2 linked regions of the Drosophila melanogaster genome follow. The protein of the gene in region 2 purifies or fractionates together with the protein of the main gene of each other region. This does not show direct contact. Each region holds a gene or a part of one and is shown on either strand. Other genes may lie near its edges.

Region 1 (7,087 bases), 1.4 Mb from region 2:
GCTGGCGTTTGTTTAATACCACAGCCCGTTAAGAGGCAGCGATCGCTTGAGGATGTTATAAAGAATCCCTGGAAGCTATCACCCCGCCTGGATGGCCGTATTGTGGGCGGTCACCGCATCAACATCACCGATGCACCACATCAGGTTTCGCTGCAGACTTCGTCCCATATTTGCGGCGGTTCTATTATATCCGAGGAGTGGATATTGACTGCCGCCCATTGCACATAGTAAGTAAGCCGCTCAAGGAATCTTCTCTAGAGAGTATGCCAAAAATGATTCCTCCTGATTTCGTAGTGGTAAAACGGCAGATCGCCTGAAAGTGCGACTCGGAACCAGCGAATTTGCTCGCAGTGGCCAACTTCTGCGGGTGCAGAAGATCGTGCAGCACGCCCAGTTCAACTACACCAATGTGGACTACGATTTCTCGCTGCTTCAGCTAGCTCATCCCATCAAGTTTGACGAGACCAAAAAGGCGGTCAAGCTGCCCGAGTCTCAGATGAAATACATGGACGGGGAAGCTTGCTTCGTGAGTGGTTGGGGCAACACCCAGAACCTGCTGGAGTCCCGCGAGTGGCTGCGTCAGGTGGAGGTGCCTCTGGTCAATCAGGAGCTTTGCAGCGAGAAGTACAAACAGTACGGCGGCGTCACCGAGCGAATGATCTGTGCTGGATTTCTGGAAGGCGGAAAGGATGCGTGCCAAGGCGATTCCGGCGGTCCGATGGTCAGTGAATCGGGCGAGCTGGTGGGCGTGGTTAGCTGGGGCTACGGTTGCGCTAAGCCCGACTATCCGGGTGTCTACTCAAGAGTAAGTTTCGCACGGGATTGGATCAAGGAGCACAGTGGTGTCTAGATTCGTATATCCTGCACAGTTAACATAGTTTGAAATCAATTTCTTCCTATGCGATTGCTTTGACTAGATGTATTTCAAATACCCGCAATAAAAAATTATCAAACGATGCCAACCAATCCGATGGAACCATTTCATAATGCGCCGCTTCAATAGAAGGATTCGCACACGTTGCCAGCACGCAGCCAGCATTTCAAACACGCGACCCTCCAGGATATCGCACACTTCGCCGGCGCATGTCGCGTTGTTGGAAATGAGTCTACTTGGCCACGTTAAGAGGATGTGTCGGGCTGCACGAGTCCTTGGCCGTTTGTGAGGGATGGAGTGGGCATCGCATCTAATTGTTTTGCTTTTGATTGGGAGGCTTATCAGCCAACTTTCATCGTGACTGTCCACCGTTCATGTGTTACATGCGGCGTATACGCAATTACTTGCATTACGTATACGTAGGGACAAGTTTTTGTGCATTGGCGTGGCTTACTTTGCCGCTGAACGGACTCCGCCATTGTTGTGTTTGCTTAGTGATAAATTAGCTTACAGAAATTAACATCAGGCGTTGCATAATTCAGATGTATGTACTTGCATAGCCTTGGCATTGGCGAAGTGATCGCACAACTTACGTTGAGTGGAAACTTTGGGCGGATCGGCTGAAGTGGTCTAATCAATGCTATGTTCTTACATTGGCACTTTCGTTTTTCTCCATTCACTTTGCAGCAATGGATATATAACTTAAATATTATTTGCAAAAAATAAAAAAATTAATTCATAGTTGAAATGTATTCAATCAAAATCTGCTCCTTTATATTAAAAATATAGTTAGATTGTCACCTTTTACAAAAGTCTAACCATCTAATTAACAGCATTATTAATTTGTTTCTTTTTTTTGTGACAACTAATCTTCTTATTGAAATAATAGAATTTGATAGTCTGGGTTGAATAACATTTTGACGTCAAATCGCCTATTGTGAGTGAGTGACTTCGTAAAATGAGAGTGTCAGTTATTTATTTCTATCGCCCCAGTCCGAGCAAAAGTATTTTCCTAAACCTCCGTTTCCAGTCGATTTACCACCGCGATTCGGTGCCGACGTGCTGCAGCTCGCGCCACCGTGGAAACACTCAAAGTAAATATATACGCTCCCCACAGTATACGCATTCAATGAGCCCGGTGCGTATACGCCGCGTGTGCCCGCGCCTGCAACCAACTGTTGATTCCGTTCCCAAAAGGATTATTCAACGGATCATCTGAGGCACTCAGAGCCGAACAATGTCACCCTGACGAAGCCTACGGCAGAGTCGTTCGAAGGCGGCGTCAAAAACGTTTAACTTTACACTGAAAAAAATATTGGTTTTAATGTGAAACGTCTGTGAGGAATACAGTACAGCAGCAGACAAAATAATATAATATTTATGTATGTAACAAAATATGTCATTGAATATATTATATACATATAAACGTGAGTGTTGTATAATCAAAAAAAAACGTAGTTTTGAAATCATTTATATTAATTATTTTGCACACTAAATATATACATTTATTAAATAAAGTAAAGTAAAGTATTAAAGTAAAGTGAAGTCTCGTTATTGAAGATACCATTTGGTAAAGTGACACACTTTTTTTTTTTGAGTGCACAGAAACGTTCTGACTATTGCTGTTGTTCCCAGACTGTTCTCCGTATTTTCCGGCGCTGGTTATTCATGTTATCGAACATCGTAGTGGCGGTTGGCAAATAAACGTGCGGCACGTTGTGATTACACGTGAGCCGATTTCCCCGGCCGTCCGGCATTGAGTGCGAGCGGGACGGAGCAGCGCGGCGAGAGCTTTCGGCTAGCGTCTTTCGTTCGCACAAACGCCGGCAGCGGCACGTTGGCCCTGTGTGAGTGGGTGTTTCGGTCAGTGTGTGTATCTGTGAGATGCATTTTGTATCTGACTTCGGTGAGCTAGCCGTAACTCAGATCGCATTCAGCATTGTGCGTTCCAAGTAAGCGGTTCGTTGAGCGGTTCGAAGTTTATCAACAAAATAGAAGTTTCGAAAATAAATATCTCTTAAATAAAGAAAATTTAATAAAGATATTTTGCTAAAATAATCTTGAATACTTTTGTGAATTCATGCAATAATATTTATTAATTCACATATCAATAATCTTAAAGAGAGTGCTTACATGACTCACTGGTCTTTCTCTCAGTGTTTAGCCTAGATTGCAATCGAAAAAAGTGCAAATTAATTGCTATTGAAGTTGCATTTTACATAAGCCAACAACGAGTATAAAGAATTTTTTGTGCAGTGTTAACAAAGCAAAGTTCACAAAGTGTTAAATAAAATTGCAAATCCTTAACAAATTTTTCATGAGTGGTTAAAATCTTAATATTACCAAAAAAACTGAATTTACCCTAACAAATATTCTTAAAACTACTTTCAGATATAAAACAAAAATAATTTCATCAGTGTATATAACAGCACTGAAACTATAACACGATCTATTCTGCAAAGAAACCCAAAAAGTGCTCAGAAAAGCTCAATTGCTTAGAAACATAAACAATCAGCTTTAATTGTTGATTGCAATTCGGCTAAAACTAAAACAGTAAAATTGTCTGCGATAGAAAAAATTTAAATAATTGGTAAGAAATATAAACCACTAGTATATTTAACATTACATAGCTTAGACCTGACCTAACACAGTTCGTTATCAGTTGACCCCTGACAAAATTACACTTTAACAAAGCTTTCTAAAAAGTAGCTTTAAGCGGCGACATATTCAAGCAATTAAAGCTTGCACAGAAAGAAAACCCATTTCCACATGAAAACGAAATCACATAATACTGGGAAAATGAAAACAAGTTAAAGGGGCAATTTACGAAGCACAACAATTCTCCGTTACAATTCTTATGTAAAAAGCACGCAGTGAACTGTCAAAAAAGGAGGCTTGGCCTTCCACGGAATTCCTGTCAGAAACAGGATAGCGAAATAAGTACGGGAATCGTCCTGAAACTGACAGATTTCATCCTGGCACACAGATGTTCAGTGGTTTCTGCTCGTTTAGCTAGGATTTTAACGACCCTCAGATGTATTTGCATTGCAAATTCAAATCTTAAATATTTATTCGTGATCTATCTTTGCTTTCCGTTTCAAATGCAAATTCAACCTCGCTTCAATGAATTTCCCCTTTGCGAAAGAATGAAAATTGTTTTCACTCTCCAAGAAAAGTAGATACTCAGCTCGAAATTTCAATGCGCATATCATTTTGTAGTTCTCGCCTTGCGTTTTATGTAAGTTGGGTCTTTGATTTCATAACCAGTCAGCGGAAATGGTATTGGGGTTGCTAGAAACGTTTCACAGATACAAAGATGCTCAGATGATCTATGATTTCGGATGGTGCAAAAATTATGCTCGACCAACAAAATTCGATATTAGTTTCAGTAGAAATATCTAAGTAAAATTTAAAAGAAAAGTATTTTTATTTTTTTTCTCTTAGATATCACTGTTTTCTTATTAATTATATTTTTTAATATTTTCTATAAAATGTCCATAATTTATTGTCCCTCAATTTACACACAATTAAATCTCCCTTCTTAGATATAATTTCCTATTGAGCATTATTACATTTTAAAACAATTTTATAGTAAATCAGCTAGGCCATAAATGGCTTTGTAATTTTAAAATTTTCTCAACTGTTTGCGCTGTTTATTTTCCGCTCTTGGCCATTTAGCGTGCCATTTAACGTGTTCGCCCAAAAGAGGGCAACGAAAACCAATGCAACTAAACTGCATTCGCTTTAATGGCCAAATATAGCACGAAACATTCAAAGTCAGCAGGCTGGAAGCCGCACAAATGCCAAATCCTGCATCCCGATTCATGTCCTATAAATATCGCTACGGGTGGTCGGCTTTTCCGACTGCAGGCTTTGTTCCTCCGGAGTCCCGTAGTCCGTAGTCCGTTTGCGAACCCAGTGGCTTTGTCCTCCAACTGTGTTGTTTACACAATCAGCCCGGATGTCTGCAAGTGAGTCACATGCGGCCACCGGGTGCCGCAGTCGCCTGTTGAGGATTTGCCTCGTTACGTGATGGCTGAAGGTTGGGCTCCCCCCTGTGTGGGGGGGGGGGGTGGTGGTGTTTGCCAATCCAGCCCACTTTTTCACTTTCCGGACTGGCAAGTGTGGCTTCTGGGAACTTTCGGGGCTCGTCTGGTAGGCAGTTTCCTTGATTCGACTCGCAACGGGTGGTAAATGGGAGACGTGCTGTGCGGACACGTGTGTGAGGTGATGTGGAATGGGAGTTGATTCGGGTTTCATCCCCGAGCGGCTGCAATTGCAGCACATTGCATGGACTGCGCCCTTGATGGTCACATGGGTGGCGATTTTGTTTGCGAGTGCAAATATTTATGGGAATCATTTGTGGTTGCGTAATGCCCTGGAAGACGATGGGTTAGTGACCTTAACATATTTTAAGGTGACTGTTACAGCTTACAAAAATGCCATAAATTTTTCACCATTTCACATCTCAGTTTAAATGTGTAATATTATTTAAATTCACCTCTGGTACCACGTTAAGAATATTTAAGTTTTAATAACAATTAAATATACATTTTTGTTTACTTATAGTTACAGATACCGCGCAAATGGCTAAGAAGTACCTCAATGTTCGCAGTCGACAATGAGCAGAGTTAGGCAGCTCCACAATCACATCTGGAATAATCAGAACTTTGATAAAGTGAAATCGGTTATGGACTGGTTACTAGCAACTCCGCAGTTGTACAGCGCGTTCTCCTCCTTGGGTTGCTTGGAGGGCGATACCTATGTGGTCAACCCGAATGCATTGGGTGAGTAATCAATATAGGACTACTACATTAATTAGGTATTTAACTTATTTTCAATCCCCAGCCATTCTGGAGGAGATCAACTACAAGCTCACCTATGAGGACCAAACACTGCGCACCTTTCGACGGGCCATTGGATTTGGCCAGAATGTGAGGTCAGACCTGATACCGCTGCTGGAGAATGCCAAGGATGATGCGGTCCTGGAGTCGGTCATCCGGATACTCGTCAATCTGACGGTGCCGGTGGAGTGCCTCTTCTCCGTGGACGTGATGTACCGCACGGATGTGGGTCGCCACACCATCTTCGAGCTGAACAAGCTGCTGTACACCAGCAAGGAAGCATTTACCGAGGCCAGGAGCACCAAGAGCGTGGTGGAGTACATGAAACACATACTGGAGTCGGACCCTAAGCTGTCGCCGCACAAATGCGATCAAATCAACAACTGTCTGCTGCTGCTGAGAAATATCCTGCACATTCCAGAGACGCATGCCCATTGCGTGATGCCCATGATGCAGTCGATGCCGCATGGCATCTCCATGCAGAACACGATCTTGTGGAATCTCTTCATCCAGAGCATCGACAAGTTACTCCTGTATCTGATGACCTGTCCGCAGAGAGCCTTCTGGGGAGTGACCATGGTGCAACTGATTGCTTTGATCTACAAGGATCAGCATGTGAGCACTCTGCAAAAACTACTTAGCCTCTGGTTCGAAGCCTCTCTGTCGGAGAGCTCTGAGGATAATGAGAGTAATACCTCGCCCCCCAAACAGGGCAGTGGCGATTCCAGCCCCATGCTGACCTCTGATCCTACCTCTGATTCCTCGGACAATGGCAGCAATGGCCGTGGCATGGGCGGTGGCATGCGGGAAGGAACAGCGGCCACTTTGCAGGAGGTGAGCCGCAAGGGTCAGGAGTATCAGAACGCCATGGCCAGAGTGCCAGCGGATAAGCCCGATGGCTCCGAAGAGGCCAGCGATATGACGGGGAACGACAGCGAGCAGCCTGGATCGCCGGAGCAATCGCAGCCCGCCGGCGAGTCCATGGACGATGGAGATTACGAGGACCAGAGACACAGGCAACTGAACGAGCATGGCGAGGAGGATGAAGATGAGGTGAGTTTCTATGACCAGTGCCATTGAAATATATAACAAAATATCGTACTCTTCCAGGACGAAGTGGAGGAGGAAGAGTACCTACAATTGGGCCCAGCCTCGGAGCCCCTAAACTTAACACAACAACCAGCTGACAAGGTCAACAACACTACCAACCCAACGTCCAGTGCGCCACAAGGCTGCCTGGGCAATGAGCCATTCAAGCCACCACCTCCTCTGCCAGTCAGAGCCTCCACCTCGGCACACGCTCAAATGCAGAAGTTCAACGAATCGTCCTACGCGTCCCACGTATCTGCGGTCAAATTGGGCCAAAAGT
Region 2 (5,990 bases):
CGTCTCCGACTACCTGAACTGCGTGGACTCCCAGATCATCACCCGCGACGAGTGCTCCAGCGTCTATGGAACCGATGTGATCACCGACAACGTCATCTGCACCTCCACCCCCGGCGGCAAGTCCACCTGCGCCGGCGACTCTGGCGGCCCACTGGTCCTCCACGACCGCTCCAAGCTGGTCGGTGTCACCTCCTTTGTGGCCGCCAGCGGCTGCACCTCGGGCCTGCCCGATGGCTTCACCCGCGTCACCAGCTACCTGGACTGGATCCGCGACCACACTGGCATCTCCTACTAATTTCGTTCTCGAAATAAACCCTTCTGCATTTAATAGATAATTGTTTTTTAATTCGATAGTTTAAATTTAAGGAATGGGGAAACTAAAATGGATTATCTTAAGGATCAAGATACTTGATTTTGTATGGTTTAGATTGATTTTCGATATCTTCATAGAATGTTTTCATAGAATACGAATGATATGGTTTCCAATTTATTATTATTTATGATTAAATGTTAAGCCTCATATTTAAATTAAATCAGAAAGATAAGTAGTGTTATAAGTTATAAAGAATTGCGTATTTCATTTGTTGTTAGTGCCAGTCTAGTTTATTTCTCTTACTATCTCAGTTTTCTATCAATTGATTTGGAGGGATTTGTTTATTTTTCAGACCTACCTTCGATAAGATTAAAGGGTTTACGCATGTGGCTAAAATCTCCATTTTGTTTAACTTGTTTATAATAAATAAAATTTTCCTTCATTTAAATAATGATAATTTATATTTCAGTTTTTCTTAGAATATTAAATACAGATGTATATTTTGTTTCTGTTTTATTTTGGATATATTTTTGTAAGTATTAAAACGATTGGATAGTTTAGAAACTTTAAGCAAAAGCTATATATAATAGCAAGCAAATAATAATTTACAGATTTGTACTAGATTTAATCTTATCTTCAATGACAGCTAACTTTTTTAGTAATTTTGACAATTTTGCTGTAAAGAAGTTCAATCAGCATTTTTATGAAAATAACACACAAGTTTTTAACATTTTTCCAACACCTATTTTATTATCACTTTCAAACATTTGTTTACACTTGAACAATAATTGTAAACTATTTTATTTTTAAGCACTTGTAATTCTTGTTATCAAAAACCTGTGAGTATATAGGGTTATCATACACTTGTGCATCAAGTTTTGGTTTGTTGTTGTTCTTATTAATTGTCTATTAAATTAATAATAGTCGAGAATCCTTCAGCCTAACTTGGCAACAGTTAGTAATAGATTTGAAAACAAGCGGAAAACCTCCAGCCATTATTACAGATTATCCTTATCAGGACAAAAAGCAGACATACATTTTATGTAAAAGTTAACAAACAACTTTATTGAAAATCATTCCTGTCCAAAGATCATTGTAAATTTTAAGTTCTGAAAAATGATGATAAGATAGAATGGTCTGCGCAAAGGTTGACAAATATATATTTTATAATTATGAATAAAACTACAAACATATTTGATTAGCCACAAAATATTATTCCATTTAGATAGATAATAATTTGGCTGTTTATTGCTGCATACTTAATATATGGTAAATAATAAAATAATATAATATATATAAATATATATAGTCTAGTGGGGGGGGTCTAGTCCCCCCTAGAGTTTCTTTGATTTCTACTACTGGCTTGGTAGAGTGGTTCCTCCATTCTTATCGATGACATCGTTTATGGGAGTCTTGAGGATTATTTACGAGCCCTTTTCGAGTTGCAGATATGGTTTTAGCTGAAAATGTGTATAAAAGGCTGCCATCCGAGAGTAGAATCCAGTATAAACATCAGCATGAAGGTGTTCCTAGCTATCCTGGCTCTGGCCGTGGCTTCGGCCTCCGCCTTCGACGAGAAGGTCTTCGTAAAGGACCTGCCCAAGGCCACCAAGATTGAGGGTCGTATCACCAACGGATACGCCGCCCCCGAGGGTAAGGCTCCCTACACTGTGGGTCTTGGCTTCAGCGGAGGCTGGTGGTGCGGTGGCTCCATCATCGCCCACGACTGGGTCCTGACTGCCGAGCACTGCATCGGAGATGCCGCTTCCGTGATCGTTTACTTCGGTGCCACCTGGCGCACCAACGCCCAGTTCACCCACACCGTTGGCAACGGCAACTTCATCAAGCATTCCAACGCTGATATCGCCCTGATCCGCATCCCCCACGTCGACTTCTGGCACATGGTGAACAAGGTGGAGCTCCCCAGCTACAACGACCGTTACAACAACTACAACGAATGGTGGGCCGTCGCTTGCGGATGGGGTGGCACCTACGACGGCAGCCCACTGCCCGACTGGCTGCAGTGCGTCGATCTCCAGATCGTCCACAACGAAGAGTGCGGCTGGACCTACGGCAGCGTTGGCGACAACGTCATCTGCACCCGCACCGTCGACGGCAAGTCCATTTGCGGAGGTGACTCTGGCGGTCCCCTTGTCACACACGACGGCTCCAAGCTGGTGGGAGTTAGCAACTTCGTCTCCTCCAACGGCTGCCAGTCGGGTGCTCCTGCTGGATTCCAGCGCGTCACCTACCACTTGGACTGGATCCGTGACCACACTGGCATCTCTTACTAATTTTTCTAAATAAATCGATCATTTTAAAAGCAATACGTTTCGAGAGTATATAAATCGGGGTCACCAACAAAATGTATGTGTTCTACACTTGTTTTACGCAGTGTAAAACAAATTTTACTCGTGTGTAGAAACCACGGCGTAAGATTACACAAATAATTTTTGTAGCAGTTTTGTGTGAATGCCAAAGCAACAGCTGATTGCTATCAAGTAAACAATTAATTACGTTTTTGCCGTGCACCAAAGGATTGAGTTGGGAGTGCTTTGTTGGTGCGTAGATCACGTAACCGGAGGCGGCAGCATGTGCACTCTGCACCCCGAGGAGGAAGCTCACCTGATGGCCATGGCCAGCGGAGGACAACCAACGCGTACGGCCAGTCCAAGGCCATTGGTCACCGCCTCCATTGCAGCACCACGATCGCTGTTTGATGTCTGCTGGGACGATGTGCTCATCCCGCAGGTTGCCGTCTACCTGTCGCTCAAGGATCTCTTCAACCTGCGCTGCTGCTCCCGTACCGCACAACGCTTTGTGGAGGCTGCGCTGGAAAAAAGGCAGGAACTTCATCTCTCTGGGAACAACACAAAGAATATCGACGTGGCCTTTCGAGTGCTGGCCCGATGTTGCCAACGATTGGAGGTGCTTCATCTGGCCTGCTGCCGATGGCTAACAGATGAGCTGCTGCTGCCACTGCTGGCCAACAACAAGAAACGCCTGTGGGCCGTCAACCTGAACGAATGCGTCAACATCACGGCCCTTTCGCTGCAGCCGATCATAGTGGAGTGCAAGGAGCTGCGCGTACTCAAGCTGTCCAAGTGCCAGTGGCTGACCACGGGAGCAGTGGACGCTTTGACGCTGCACCAAAGCAAGCTGGTGGAGTTCGACATCTCCTATTGCGGCGCAATTGGAGAGCGCTGCTTGATTATCTTCTTCAGGAAACTTAACAAGCTCACCGTCCTGTCGCTGGCAAATACGCCCAGTGTCACCGATCAGGTGCTCATCCAAATCGGGAACTATTGCCGCGAACTGGAGCACATCAACGTGATCGGGTGTGCGGCTATCTCCGACTATGGCGTGCAGTAAGTAATACTCGTAGTTATCCCTAAAAGCTGTTGTCATATTGTCAGTAAACCTGTGCGTGCCTTGTGTCTGTGTGTTTCTGGGGAAACCAATCTCCATCTGCATCCGCATCTGCGTATTTTCAGCGCTTTGACAGTGCACTGTTTGCGGCTACGGACCTTGCTCATTCGACGTTGTCCGCGGGTCACAGAACTCTCCCTGGCGCCGCTCCGCCAGCGGCGTCTTTACATCGATAGGCCACAGCCGGATGTGGGGCTCAACGCTTACAACTTGAACGACTTCTATCCCAGCGATTTCCTTGTTTACTAGCCCACACTTCGTTCTCCCTCTTCCGCAGTGCCCTCACCTCCAGTTGCCCGCTGCTGCAGTCACTGATGGTGCAGCGCTGCCCATTGGTCACCGAGCGTGTGCTCGCCCCACTTCGTGGACGGGTCCACATCGATCGGCCCGGCATGGGCTACATGCCAACTGTGCAACATCACCGCCTGTTCCTGCAGGTTTGAGATTAATTCTGATTCCGGGCCAATATTACCAATGTACCAAGGAGGCTTTCGAGGCTATCCAATACTTTTGCTGTAAATACATGCCTCAGCATGGGACGCTTTAATTTACTTTTAAGCTTAATCTTACACATTGTTAACATTAATTTAGGCTGTACAATAAACATACTAACTTATTCATCTCTCTCTCCAAAAGCTCGAGCTTTTTGCATTAAAATACATGTAAACCAGAAAGTAAGCTAGAATCGGCAAGCCGAAACTTATATACCCTTGCAGTAATTATAACATTTATACCGATTAAAAACAACGACCCGTTCATGCAGATTGCTAAACTAAGAGACTATTTGGCATAGAAACTGACAGACGGACATGGCCGTATCGACTCCGCTGGTGATACTGATATATAGTTTATATGGTCGCAAATGCCTCATCCACTGCGCTACAAACTTTTCGATAAAATAAATATACTAACTGCAAGGGCATAAAAAGCGTGGCTAAAATGTGGCCAATATAAATACAATAGTGTGCTTTAACTTTCCCCTCGTGCTTTGTGCGGCTTCCCATCATTGTGCTGAAATTAATGGCGAGTTAGAGGTAGTTGTTGTGGATGTCGCCTCGACCCCCTTTGACAGGTGGAGTTGTTGCTTGAATGCAGAGCTTACACTAATATCCTCGTCGCCTCGGCCATCTGCGGACCGCCACTGCTCATGCAGATGCTGCAGGTGAGCGTAGGCGGCCATGGACATGTTCAGACTGGGATTCACGGGGCTTAGCCCAGGTTCACCCGTGAAAGCTAGTCCGCAGAGACCGAGGTATGTGTGAAACGGATCAGGCGTGGCTTGCGGCCACTTGGCAAAGCCCCCAATGAGCTTATCCTGTGTGCTCAGAATGAATTCTCGGTTCCGGGCATAATCGGTTAGTTCGAAGCCGTCCAGAATACATAGCGATGCACCAATCCAGAAGGAATAACAAGTATCCACTGGCTTATTGGGGCGTCCTTGGAATCCATCCATCTGGCGGAAAATGAGCCAACGCTTCATTCGCTCCACCGTCGTGGCATCCAGGCGATGCAGTTGTCCACTAAGATGCAACGCCGCCAAGGCACAGAATGTGGTGCCGCCATGGGCCTCCCCCTCCAGCTCTTGGCTGAAACCGTAATCGTATCGCAGGCTCCGAGTGATGAACTGAAACATGGTCTCCTTGTTGACATCGCCCCAGTAGTCCAGCATGTAGCATATGGTGGCGGCACAATAAACAAATCGCATATCATCCTCGCTGCCATCGATGCAGGCGCTAAAACTGCCCTCAGGCTTCTGAACAGCAGCCACTCCGTCCACAATGCTTTTCCGATCCAGTCGGGACAAATCATCGCCCAGGGTGACCAGCACTGCGAGACTGGTGTACGTCATGGCCAAGTGGCCCCACTGGTAATTCCGCATGCACTCCAAGATCTCGGCGTCCTCGGTTTTGGGCACCATGGCGCGGCAGCCCTGCAAAGATACCAATTAATTAATCAATCTATTTTAAAGTGGTTTTGCATGTTGCTGGCGTCGCTGATAAAGCGTGGCGCGATAAATTCAAGGTGTCGGTGGGTGGGGTGTGGTGGGTAATGGTAAATCGAGCTGCTGCGCAAATGGAGAACTCCTCTACAATTATGCATATTTAAACAGTATAGATCGTAACAGAAGTAATGCCGTTTTGCTTTTTATGTAAAGCAGATGCGTTGACCTTGGAATTAACAATTTAATGGGTTTTCATTAGAATCCAATTATTTAAAAACAAAATTTAGATTTGTAATTTAAACTAAA

The links.
Region 1: the proteins of jet (region 2) and tim purify together in Drosophila melanogaster (affinity purification with western blotting, with the first as the bait; 2 studies listed by BioGRID). This does not show direct contact.

The regions. Positions count from the first base shown.
Region 1 is NT_033779.5:3,502,935-3,510,021, reverse strand, and holds the start of tim (timeless), read left to right. Parts: upstream 1-2,803; 5' UTR 2,804-2,826; exon of another isoform or gene 2,827-2,833; intron 2,834-3,265; 5' UTR 3,266-3,464; intron 3,465-5,443; 5' UTR 5,444-5,495; coding exon 5,496-5,661; intron 5,662-5,722; coding exon 5,723-6,771; intron 6,772-6,828; coding exon 6,829-7,087. Other genes in the region: CG31954 (uncharacterized protein), read left to right, coding at 1-227, 295-850. UniProt on the Drosophila melanogaster protein: Required for the production of circadian rhythms. The biological cycle depends on the rhythmic formation and nuclear localization of the TIM-PER complex. Light induces the degradation of TIM, which promotes elimination of PER.
Region 2 is NT_033779.5:4,946,589-4,952,578, reverse strand, and holds jet (jetlag), read left to right. Parts: upstream 1-2,794; 5' UTR 2,795-2,905; coding exon 2,906-3,681; intron 3,682-3,807; coding exon 3,808-3,991; 3' UTR 3,992-4,019; coding exon of another isoform or gene 4,020-4,185; 3' UTR 4,186-4,373; downstream 4,374-5,990. Other genes in the region: Jon25Bii (jonah 25Bii), read left to right, coding at 1-295; Jon25Biii (jonah 25Biii), read left to right, coding at 1,831-2,607; betaggt-I (beta subunit of type I geranylgeranyl transferase), read right to left, coding at 4,746-5,672.